Linked DNA regions of Macaca fascicularis. The protein of the gene in region 2 interacts with the protein of the main gene of each other region in a pairwise test. Links are inferred from orthologs where the notes say so. Each region holds a gene or a part of one and is shown on either strand. Other genes may lie near its edges.

What was found.
Region 1: the proteins of FYN (region 2) and SKAP2 interact in a two-hybrid assay, tested with the Homo sapiens proteins (2 studies listed by BioGRID and IntAct, with this or other methods). The link is inferred for Macaca fascicularis from reciprocal best matches to the Homo sapiens genes FYN and SKAP2.

What each region holds. Positions count from the first base shown.
Region 1 is NC_088377.1:103,398,661-103,404,657, forward strand, and holds the start of SKAP2 (src kinase-associated phosphoprotein 2), read left to right. Parts: upstream 1-1,785; 5' UTR 1,786-1,945; coding exon 1,946-2,012; intron 2,013-5,997. UniProt on the Homo sapiens protein: May be involved in B-cell and macrophage adhesion processes. In B-cells, may act by coupling the B-cell receptor (BCR) to integrin activation. May play a role in src signaling pathway.
Region 2 is NC_088378.1:15,713,832-15,720,140, forward strand, and holds the end of FYN (tyrosine-protein kinase Fyn), read right to left. Parts: intron 1,870-6,309; coding exon 1,661-1,869; 3' UTR 1,208-1,660; downstream 1-1,207. UniProt on the Homo sapiens protein: Non-receptor tyrosine-protein kinase that plays a role in many biological processes including regulation of cell growth and survival, cell adhesion, integrin-mediated signaling, cytoskeletal remodeling, cell motility, immune response and axon guidance.

The DNA of each region.
Region 1 (5,997 bases), on a different chromosome or scaffold from region 2:
GGGATTACAGGCATGAGCCACCATGCCTGGCCTTAGCTAGATCTTTTTGATAACTTGCTGCAGCTTCTTCACCAGCATTTGCTGCTTCACCTTACACTTTTATGTTCTGGAGATGGCTTCTTTCCTTAAACATCATGAACCAACCTCTGCTAACTTCCAACTTTTCTTCTGCAGCTTCCTTACCTCTCAGCGTTTGTAGACTTGAAGAGAGTTAGGGCCTTGCACTTGATTAGGCTTTGGCTTAAGGGAATGTTATGTCTGGTTTCATCTTCCATCCAGAACATGAAAACGTTCTTTACCAGCAATAAGTCTCCTTCACTTTCTTATCATTCGCATGTTCACTGGAGTAGCATTTTTAGTTTCCTTCAAGGACTTTTCCTTTGCATTCACTACCTGGCTGTTTGGTGCAAGAGCCCTAGCTTTTGGTCTGTCTCGGCTTTCAATATGCCTTCCTCACTAAGCTTAAACATTTCTTGCTTTTGATTTAAAGTGAGAGACATGTGATTCTTTTACTGGAACACTCAGAGGCCATTGTAGGGTTATTCATTGGCTTAATGTCAGTATTGTTGTGTCTCAAGTAATGGGGAGGCCCAAGAGAGGGAGAGATATGGGGGGAAGGTATGGTTGGTAGAGCAGTCAGAATGCACACATTTATGGATTACAGTCGCTGTCTTATATGGGTGCTGTTTGTGCTGCCCCAAAGTAATTATAATAGTAACTTCAAAGATCACTATAACATATATAATAATAATAATGAAAAAGTTTGAAATATTGTGAGAATCACCAAAATGTGACACAGACATGAAGTGAGCACATGCTTTTGGAAAAATGGCGCCCACAGATTTGGTTGATGCAGGCTTGCCACAAACCTTCAATTTGTTAAAAAATGTAGTATCTGGGAAGCACAAAGATGTATGCCTGTTAAAGGTTTTAAAGAAGCCATTTTTTTTTTAAGAGAAAACTTTTAAGAAGCTTTACACATAGCAGACAATAAGTATTTGTTGACTAAATGGTCAAGTTGGAGTGAGCAGATTTTATAATTTTATTCTACTAATCACCACCAGCAATTTTATTTTTGATGCTTGTAGATGGACAGTGGTGCCTATGTCTATTAGGCCTTCTGATTTTTTGTTTTGTTTTGTTTTTTCCTGCCAAAGGACAGTGCTTAGAACTTCCCATTCTTCCTTATAGTGGGGAAAATCTGTCACCCCAAGGATATGAATTAGGTAGAAAAGTAATGTAAGAGCCAATCACAACGCGCGCTGCGGGGCGGCTCCAGACTGGCTTCTCCGGGACGACTGGCGGAAGATGAGACTTCGTTACCTCCGTTCAATCGGACAAAGAAGGCCATAATAGTTTTGGACAATAGAAAATTCCTTGTGGGTTAAACTGCGGTGGGACTAACTGTTACGCAGAAGGCGTAATTGGAAAACTTCTATACACTGTGTATCACGGATACATTATTTTCTGGAATCCTGGAGAAACGATCAGCAGGTGTGGTGGCACCAGTACCAAAAATGGCTGTAAGGCGCTTCGGACGCTGGATCAGGTGACGCAGCCTCAGTCCGCCCACTTCCCACCAGCGGCTCCTCCTCCTGCTTCCCGGCGTAGCGGTGGGCGTGGCTTGCCCAGAGGCTCTTTCTTCTGGGGCCGGGAAAACCGAGGAATACACATGCGCAGTTGGACCCCTCAGGCCCTTCGTGTCTCTTCCTACCCATCTCCCCGCCCCGACCCTCTGGGCGGGGCTGGGCCGACAGTCCAGCTGCTGCTTGCTGGAGATTCAGTGACTTCCTTGTTGTGAGCCCTGGCCCGCCAGTGTCCCGACTTGTAGCCCCGCTGTTTTTATCCGGGCCGCTAGCCTGAGTCTAGGTCGCAGCCGCAGCCCCAACCCGTCGGTCACCTTTTCAGCGCAGGTTCTTTCCCCGCACGCCCTGCGCTCCCTAACATGCCCAACCCCAGCAGCACCTCCTCTCCATACCCCCTCCCTGAGGAAATTAGGAACCTGTTGGCAGGTAAAGAGCGGGAAGGCGGCGGTAATGCTGTTGGGGCGGGGGCGAGGGAACGGTAAGCCGGTGGGGACAGAAGCACTCAGAGCCCTTATCCTCCATCCGCACGCTCCCTACGTCTTCTAGCCAGTGGGGTTGGCACAGGGAGGAGAGAAGAAGGGTTGTTTCGTCTCAGAAAGGGAGTGGGCGTGTGTGTTGAAATCTGGTGCGGGGATGGTGGCGAAGCCCTTTTTGGTGGTCTACACAAGTGAGATCAGGACGTTTCTATGTGCATTGTGAAGACTGTGTGTGTGTGTGTGTGTGTGTGTGTGTGTGTGTGTGTGTGACAGAGGAGGGCGGGGAAGGAAGAGTGGTAGAGGGAGAGAATGATAATGAATGCTGCGTGAGCAGGCAGAAGGGAGCAGAAGTCAAAGAAGTAGTTCTTGGGTGGTCTGGCCAATGGAGGTAGAGGATGTAGAGATGCAAAGAGATGTCAGAGCCACAGGTGTTAGGGGTTATGGGGTGAAAGAGTTTGTCATTTCTAAAACTCCTGTTTTTCTTAAACATTCAGCTCACTCACGTTTACAACTTTTGAAGAAGGTCTGGTTCTCAAATGGCCACTTGTCCCCAGCCTCAGTAATATATTAAAGCAAAAAAGGAAGGATATGTTAAAGTTCTACTTCCTGTGTGACACGATGAAAGTACTTCATGTTTGCACCCTTATCTTCCCTTTTTCAGTTTTACATTACCATTTATAGGAACTTGTTTTAGGAGCTAAAAACGTGGTTCTTCAGTAGCATTATGAATCCACTACTAGTTCATTAATTTTCTGGATATGGAGGTGTGTATGTTCACTAAGAACCAATAAAAATTTATATTTCTGTACAAGTTAGAAAATATATCTTTTTAAGGTAGCACAAATCTTGCCTATCTTAATGTTCTGGAATTTCAACCATCATTTATTTTGTCTTGTGTACGTCAGAATTCTGGAAACTGAATTTCGATTTTTAGTTTTAGATTCTATAAAATATTTATCTTTCAGTATTGTTCATGAATAGATTACAGATTGCTTATTATAACTCTTAAAAAGCAACATCATCTAAAATGTGACATTTGAAATAGTAGGTTACTCCTATAGCAATGTGAGTCCAAATCTCCTAATATGCTGTTATTCAATTTTGGTGCTTGGCATTATTAATGTGGTAGGGAAATGAAAACTAAGTGTATGAATGTAGACTTATGTTTGTATGATTACGGTACAGTATGTTGAATGCATTTGTGGTGGGATAGCCTTTCACTCTAAGAAATGCTTGTTGTCATTAAAGGGTACCACTAAGGGAAATAGTTAAAGAAGTCTAAAGACTGACTTCAGGCAGCTTTATTACATCTGCGTGACTACTGATTTTGTTTTACTACACTTAACATTTTTTGTTGTTACAGTGCTGGAATTGTTTATTTAGAATATTATTGTAATAACCAGTGCAGAAAAGTGTTTATCATTATTCCAAAAATAGATGAAACAATTTTCAGGATATTCTATGTCTGTATTTTTGAATTTAAGAACTAACATATAGACCTCTAGGTGCACGTTTTAAAGCTTGGCAACTCCCATAGTGCAGTTTGTTATTTGGATCCATAATCATACATCACAGATAATATGATATGTAGGTCATGAGAACCTTTATTCTCTTATTCCCATAGATCACAAGTATTTCATGTGGCCCTTATTTGTGTAATTTAAAAACTCAAAATTACATCTTTAAATTATCTGCCAATGCTAATTTCCGATATATTTCTGCCCTCTCTCTTTAGTCAGGTAATATACTAGCATAACGTCTGAAATTAAAGTCATTTTATTGACATTTTCACTATTTTATATTATTAAAGCAAATCACATATTAAAACACATGAAGTATTAAAAACAAATATTACAATTAAAACTTTTGGAATTAGAAACTTAAATTACACTTTATTTTCAGAGGATATTTTCAAGAAGTATGGAAGTGAGTTGGGGTGTATTTATATTTAAAGAAATTTAACAAATCAGTGTTTTTTGGGTTTTTAAAAAACTTATTTGGAAAATTGTTAACATCTTATGTTTGACTGTAATTAAAATCTTTTTTGAGGTAGAGAAGGCTTCAAGAATAGATGCTGTCAGCAGTTATTTCACGTATTTCATCTAAAAATATTGTTGGCATTATACATGATTCTTTTCATAATTCAAGTTTATTGGGTAAGAGTATATGAGTAGATTTAGAGTAACTAACATTATAGAAGCATTTATATTGGTTTGAATATTAGAGATATTGCTGGCTTATTTAGCATATTTCTTTGAAACTAAGGAGATATTGGTAATGTTGTTGTAGTTAACAGTTGAGTGCTCTTAGAATGTATGGTACTATGCTAGAATTCCAAGGTAGAGAAGATAAGGAACTAAACTTTTCAGGGGTTTAAAGTCCTTTGTTTTCAGAAAGAAGAATATAAAATCAAAAGATAATGACTGTTAAAAATAATGTTGTTTAGATGTATCTGTTTGTGTTCCATATGCCTATTATCTAAATCATTATATGTCATATGTATTGTTTGAAATTTCACCTGCTTAAAAGGGAAGGTACTCAAGTGTATTCTTATTTATTGTTTTTCTTTATTTTTCTGATTATGGCAGTTCTATGCTATACTTTCAACATTTGTTCCCTCTCCCTTCCTTCCCCTATAAAAAACATTCCATAGAAATGTAAAAAAAAAAAAAAAAAAAGCTTATTATTGTTAACTCACATGTGTTGTGTAAAGATACCATTGAAAAAGTGGCTATCTAGTTTGATTTTTAGTTATATTTTCTGTGGAGTCAGTCTTGAAGACCTATGCTTTTTATAAAATGTTGATTATTCTTCTGGTTATATGAACAGAAAAGGACTTACAGAATTTCGTTATTGAAAGCAAATTTTGAGCTGCCATATGCATTACAGGCAACCTTTGATTTTTTTCTTTTCTACAACAATGGAAGAACAGGTTTAGCCTGGATAATTGAAATCAAAGGACAATCCCAAATCTTGTCCATTTAATCTTCTCTCACATCCAAATATTTTGACAAGGACTAGCAGCAAGAATAATCTTGATTTATGTGATTTTTTTTTTCTCTAGGCAGGCCAGAAAGTAAGAGGAACTAGAACCACTTCCCTCCAGCCTCCTTTATTTGTTTAATCACCCTTTAAATAATGGTTTTTTAGTGGCTTGCAATCAGATATTCTCATTCATCCTCATTCATTTGTTTTAGGACAACAAATTTTAAAAGGAAAGCTCTAAGAAGATGTTATTTTCTGTTTACTAAATTAGCAAATGAAACCATTGTTAAAAGAGGAAAATAGTGATTGTTAGTGCTCTGAAAAATGAAACCAAACCAAACAAACAATAAATAAAGTGGTTATATAGTTTCTGCAAAGTGATCTTGAGGTTTTGTTCACATGGCAGTCTTGATTAGAAATACCACATTTTCCCTACTGGGAATTTTTAGAACATTAAAAATGTTTTTCCCACACACTATGTGTGAAGATAATCAGTATGTTTAGGGGACATTGATTATCTTCACACATTGATTATAATGTATGAATTTTTTTTCACACAATATTATTTAGGGTATATAATCAGTCCCCTAAAGGGATTTCTGTAGGGGCACTAGGTGAAGAGTGCAATTTATTTGAAATAGAGGCAGAATTTTTTCAATGCTGAGTATATTACGGTTTGATTTCCACCTTTCCAAAGTTCCATTTATAATTTGGTCAACATTTTGATTTTATTTTTCCTATGAGAATTATTTATGGTGTATCTAGTGTCTCATAACTTCCTTCTGGGACATTGGCTGAGTATGTAAAGGGAAGAGTGCCACCTACTGAGTCACCAGTAGTCACCTACCTCCTTAGCACCTGGATTTTCCTATGGAGCAATAACAAGCCTCCCCCATCTGGGCAGCAATCACTAAAGAGCATAGAGTTGATATGAGAACATTTAATCTCAA
Region 2 (6,309 bases):
AATTCCAGTTAGAAAAAATGCCTGATAAATTCAAATGGTAAGGTATGCCTACGTTTGCTTTAATGACCCTCTGAAATAGCTGGTCAAGAGCCTACCCTTTCTAGAGGGAAAAGAACTCTCCAGATGTTCTGAATGTTTCTGTCATTTGCAAATCATCGCACAAAGGCTAAATTCACCAGGTGACTCCATACCATCTGGTGTGGGACAGATGTACCACAGAACTACGAGTACCTTCCATGATTTAAACAAATAAACAAAAAAAATTCAAATGTAAAATGCTCTCTTTTTAATTACTAAATTAAGAAAGTTAAACAATTTAAAAATGTAAACTCACAAATGAATCATAACAAAAAAGGAATTAAGAGCTGCTAGTCAGTATTAAAAACTCAATAGAAATAGGATTTTTGATTTGTTGGTGTTAAACATATGTAATTTAAGGTGGTACAAACAGCAACTAAAAATGTAATACTCTTTTGTTTTTGTGCATCCCCATGAAATGTAAAGTAGTGCATAGTTATTCCACTGGAGAACTCCTGGACATATAGAAAGTCATTCATTAGCAGTACAGGACATTTAAAACACTTATTTTACAATGGGAAATGTGCAACCCCCACCCTCATTTCCCCCAGAAATTTTAGTTGCATGAGAAAGTTTAGCAGGCTGCCATGACTACAATGCTATGGGTTTTAGATCATTTAAATGTGGTTACAGGTTTATTAAATTAAAAATGTCTGAAACATTTCAGCACTCATATTTTTATACAAGAAGTTTGTGTGGTATCCATCTTCCAGTTCTCTCGGTAGCCATTTGCTTGCTTATTTTTAAGTTTTGAGAACAAACGGCAGTAAGTTGAAGCAAATACTGCTAACAGAACTTGTAAATTCAGCCTGGGGGGGGCGGTTCCTGAAAAGAGTCAAAGTAACAGCCATCTACAGGTACAGTCATGAACCAGGAAAGTGCAATCCAAATGAAAAAATTCATGCTTTGCAAAAGCCAAAAATGAGGCCACTGGTGTTTTCAGAATAACACCAGTGCTTTGATGCTGACTTACAGTAAAATCCTCCCTCTGGGTCCCATAGCTTGGTGGCCCAGGCTGGCCACAGTCTCCACATTAGCACCCACATTGTATATGTACAGGGACATATATATTATATATATATTCATATTTATAAAAAAGAAAACAAAAACAAACACCTGTCCTGATTGGTTTTTGTTAAAACATGAAAAAAAATTTTATTGTTTTAGACAAAGAGGCCACTTTTGGAAAATAATACTTTTTTTTTTTTAGTTGAATCAGGTGAAGACAGAGTTAAAATCACATAGGATTTGCATTTTTAAAAAAGGAAAGCACTAGGATTGTTGGCACTGGAGTAACTATTTACACTGAACAGAGGTTTGGCCTTTTACATAACATCGATACAATGCATTTTCCAAAGTCTGAGAAATAACAAGGTTCTGTCTCGAATGCTTCACAGAGGAGGTTCGGATTTGGGGACAAGTGTCATTAATGAGGGCCATGGAAGTTCGTCAGCTTCAGAGTCACATGCAATCTGATCCTGGGCGGTTCTGCTGCTGGGGAGCAGCCGGCTACGGAATTGAAAGCTAATGGGGAGGGGTGGGGCAGCCTCTAGGACAAGGCCTCTCTCCGCAGACCCGGGCCTTACAGGTTTTCACCAGGTTGGTACTGGGGCTCTGTGGCGGTAAAGTAGTCTTCCAGGAAGCTCTGCAAGTACTCAAAAGTAGGGCGTTCTTCAGGGTCCTTTTTCCAGCAGTGGATCATGAGCTCGTGCAGAGAGATGGGGCAGTCCTGCGGGCAGGGCATCCTGTAGCCTCGCTCCACCTGCTCCAGCACCTCCCGGTTGTTCATGCCTGCAAAGACAAGGGCAGTGAGAGTGGGCACCCCGGGGCTCCAGGCCCTGACCGCCACACTTGCAGATCCCCTTTCTTCTTCTTTGCATCTGCAGGTGGCTAAAACATGTGAAGTGCCCCCATTCCCCCCAGGAGTCAAACCTTGCCATGCTACTCAGAAATAAAGGAGTGCAGAACCGAGACATGCAAAAATCCAGAATGACTCTCCAAAGCAATATAAGTGAAGCAAGCCAGACACAAAAGGCAACATACTGTATGATTTCATTTATGCGAAATTCTAGAAAAGGCACAACTACATCTACAGAAAGCAGATCAGTGGCTGCCTGGGGAGGGGAGGAATCCCTGCAAAGGGGCCAGAAGGATCTCCAAGTGGGATGGGAATGTTCAGTGTCAGGGTCAATGGGTCAACAAGCTTTTCCTGTAAAAGGCCAGACAGTAAATATTTTTGGCTTTGTGGGTCACATATGATCCCTGTCTTCTTCTTTTTAACAACCCTTTAAAAATGTACAAAACACACACAGGTTGGGGGCCAGATCTGCCAACCCCTGTTCTATATTATGTATGGGGTGGTGTGACTGTTTATGTTTGTCAAAACTCAATAAACTGCATTCTTAAAATTGTTGAATTTTATTGTGTGTAAATTATACTTCAATTAAACTGACAAAAATATATGAATAAAGCAGACAAAAAAATCCACACAGAATGAAAGCATGCTGCCCCTTGTTTATAGCATTTATAAACTCCATTTATGAACTTCATAAATTTGTTTTCCTCATGCTTGGGCAAACTCCTAGTTCCTCACTGTGGGAAATCTGCCATCATGCCAGCGTGGCTGGGCACTGTCTGGCCCTGTGACCCCACTGCCCTGAGGTTTGGTGAATCTGATGGGGAGACAGACCATGTCCGGGGCCTATCTCTACTGATGACCTCAGCCAGGCCATCCATCATCTGAGGTCTTCCTGACTCTGGGGAAGCTGCTGAAACACTGGGCTGCATAGCACTAACAGAAGACAGATCATTAACTCCTTAGAGAGTGCGGACTCCTGCACACTGGCCGCCTTAACACTACAGGAACTACCATGCTTAGGGGGTGGCCAATGTCCTGACCTCTTCCCAACTACTGCCGACCACTGTTCTCTAGTTTTGCTTCCCTTTTTCATTAGATCACCTTCTGGCAGCTCCCTGTCAAGCTGTGCTATCCTTTGGTTGCTTCCTGGCTGGTGAGGCTGTCATCTGGAATCCTCCCCAATTTCTGACCTGGTTAATTTGCAGGAGCAAGAACTCGACGTCAAGCCATATAGAAACCAAGATTTCTTCCCCTCTTTCCCAGGGCTACAGCCAGCAGGAGCACACACCATACGCATGGAGCTCGCTCCCTTTACTTCCAGGGGAGGTGGTGACCTGCTAGCTGGAAACCTGTCAGCACAGCCAGAGGCGCTGGCCCAGAGCACAGCCTGTCCCCCTGGGCAGGGAACACTCAGACTTTGGGGTCTGTTGCCAGTCCTCGTGGTTGTGTTGTTACTTGCAGAGCTGAGTGCATCCTGGCTCCTCCTGGCTGTCAACCACAGCCCGTCCGTCGCACGTCCCTCCAGACCTTTTCAGGATGCTTTCTTACTCTCTGCCATGATCATTTCTTGAGATAATAAAAATTCATATATTATTTCTGCTGTACTGAAGTAGGCCTTCAATGCAATTGTCGTAAAATAACCTCACTCACGTGTCAGGGCGACCCCTTATTTCAGAGAGAGAGGTTTGGTGAGGGAGTCAGGGTCCCTGCCTCTGTGCCATGCATGCCTTTCCAGTGACTTCCTCAGTTGCTTGGGCAGAGGGAGAGGCAGCACTGTGGCTAATTAGCCTACATCCTCCTCCAATGGCTGAAAACGGGGGATGGGGGCGGGGGAGCTGGAAGCAAGGGAGGAACTGGAGCTGCTCGGGAATGAAAGGCAGGCTTCTCTTTGGGCTCTAGACAAATGCGGTCAGAGGCCAGCATTTCCTTCTCCACAATTCCGCAATCCAACAAGCTCTGAACACCATCAAGTTTTTGTAACTCACTTGACTGCAGAACTGATCTGAACTGACCTCATTTGGCCACAAAACCTGAAATGGTTACGACACTATTTACTGTTTCTATTTCTTCATACGTATTGCCCAGAAAGATTAGGAAGGAAGAGTGTGTAATCACATAGCAGAATTGGCATTCTCCAAAGCATTTGCCTTGCCGCATCTTTCAGTACAGTCCTTGGTTTCATATTTCAGCAACGACAGAGCTTGGACCTGCAGAAATCTCCTGTGTCTCTGTCCCTTCCAGGAGCCCACAGGAACTGGAGGGGAGACAGGCAGAAGGGCCTGACAGATCCTTCTGGGGGTGGTACAGCCCCTGAAATGCCTCCTAATGCTTGACGCTGGCTCTGAGTGCCGCCACCCAAAATGGCAGCACAGAATTTAATCATTTTCCTATTCTCCACAGAGTGCATGTCAGTACGTGCTTCATTTCATTAAAAAACTACTAGCCGGGCGCGGTGGCTCAAGCCTGTAATCCCAGCACTTTGGGAGGCCGAGGCGGGTGGATCACGAGGTCAGGAGATCGAGACTATCCTGGCTAACATGGTGAAACCCCGTCTCTACTAAATATACAAAAAACTAGCCGGGCGTGGTGGCGGGCGCCTGTAGTCTCAGCTACTTGGGAGGCTGAGGCGGGAGAATGGCGTGAACCCGGGAGGCGGAGCTTGCAGTGAGCCAAGATCACGCCACTGCACTCCAGCCTGGGAGACACAGCGAGACTCTGTCTCAAAAAAAAAAAAAAAAAAAAAAAAAAAAAAACACTACTCAAACGGAAAGATTTCACTTAAAAATAAAGTTTTCATCCAATGTCTGCCAGTGGAAAGTTTAATTGGCCACTGGGTCATTTTTCCAGTGCTCAGTCCAAGCCTTGGACACAGCAGACTTGGTGATGTGAACCTCAACATGTAGTGTCTTCCGAGGCAGTCTGCTTCCTGGGCATTTGGAGGCCAGGGGATAGGGTATAAGCTGGACTATGCAGGGCCCTGGCAGACCCACAGGGTCAGGCTCCTTCTCGCTCTCCCCCTTTTCCTGTCTGAACCCCTCTGCTCTTCCCCACTCCTCTTCTCATGTTTTCTTCTGCGCAGACCTCTCAAAGCATGGGAAGCGTATGAAAACAATTCCACGCACTGGGCCAAGTGGAAATATACCAATGATAGCTTTGCCAGGAAAGTGGGATATTTCCACAATGCACTTGGCTGACAATGACAACTGGAATGGGACTAGCTCTTTTCCAACCATCCATAAACCAGGACTGGCACGGGCTGACCTACAGACCTGGCCTCTTCACAATGTACCTCTGCAACAATAACTGCAATCAAGATACGCCCACTCAGCAAGGCTTAGGCTAGTTTTTATTTTATAAACAATAGCTAAAAAAAAAAAAAAAAAAAAAAAAAGTTAAATTGAATGGATTGTGTTAATTCAGGGTGAGTGTCCCTTCTCTGAAATGCTTATGATCAGGAGTGTTTTAAATTTCAGATTTTTTAGGATTTTGAAATATTTGCATCATAGGGCTGCTCAACCTAAAGCGGAGCATTCCCTTTGAGCGCTGTCAGTGCTCAAGAGGCTCTAGATTTTGGTGCATTCTGGATTTCATATTTTTGGATTAGGGATACTCAACCTGTATTTAAAATATAGTGTTCTCAGCTATATGAATTTTGAAAATCATGTTTTTTTAAAAATAATTTTTTAAAATGGCTTTTACTCTGCACACTACCAAAAAGATGGGTCTATTTCATTTTTTTTCTTCTTAGATGGTTTCATATTTTTGTTAGAGAGAAAACTGTCATTTCCTCTTTTTAGTCACTTTTCCCCAAGACATTGGCTTTACCTAATACCTAAGAGGTGAAGGGTAGTGAATAGGAAGGGAATAAACACGAGTTTGGGCACCAGGGCAGTTGGGAGAGTGTCTTGAGAGACATGGGAACACTAGAGAGAAGAATCCTTTTATTTTTTATTTATTTATTATTTTTTTTGAGACAAAGCGTGGCTCTGTCATCTGGGGTGGAGTGCAGTGGCATGATCTTGGCTCACTGCAGCCTCCACCTCCCAGGTTCAAGCAATTCTCCTGCCTCAGCCTCCCGAGTAGCTGGGATTACAGGTGCATGCCACTATACCTGGCTAATTTTTTTGTATTTTTAGCAGAGACAGGGTTTCACTATGTTGGCCAGGCTGGTCTTGAATTCTTGGCCTCAAGTGATCTGCCTGCCTCGGCCTCCCAAAGCGCTGGGATTATAGGTGTGAGCCACCGTGCCCAGTCAGAAGAACCTTTTTATTGCACTTCCAACTGAGGAGGTGGACAAGAGTACTGGGAATGCTTTTCCTTTTCCTCCTGTCTTTTGTTTTTGAAACGGAGTCTCGCTCTGTTGCCCAGGCTGG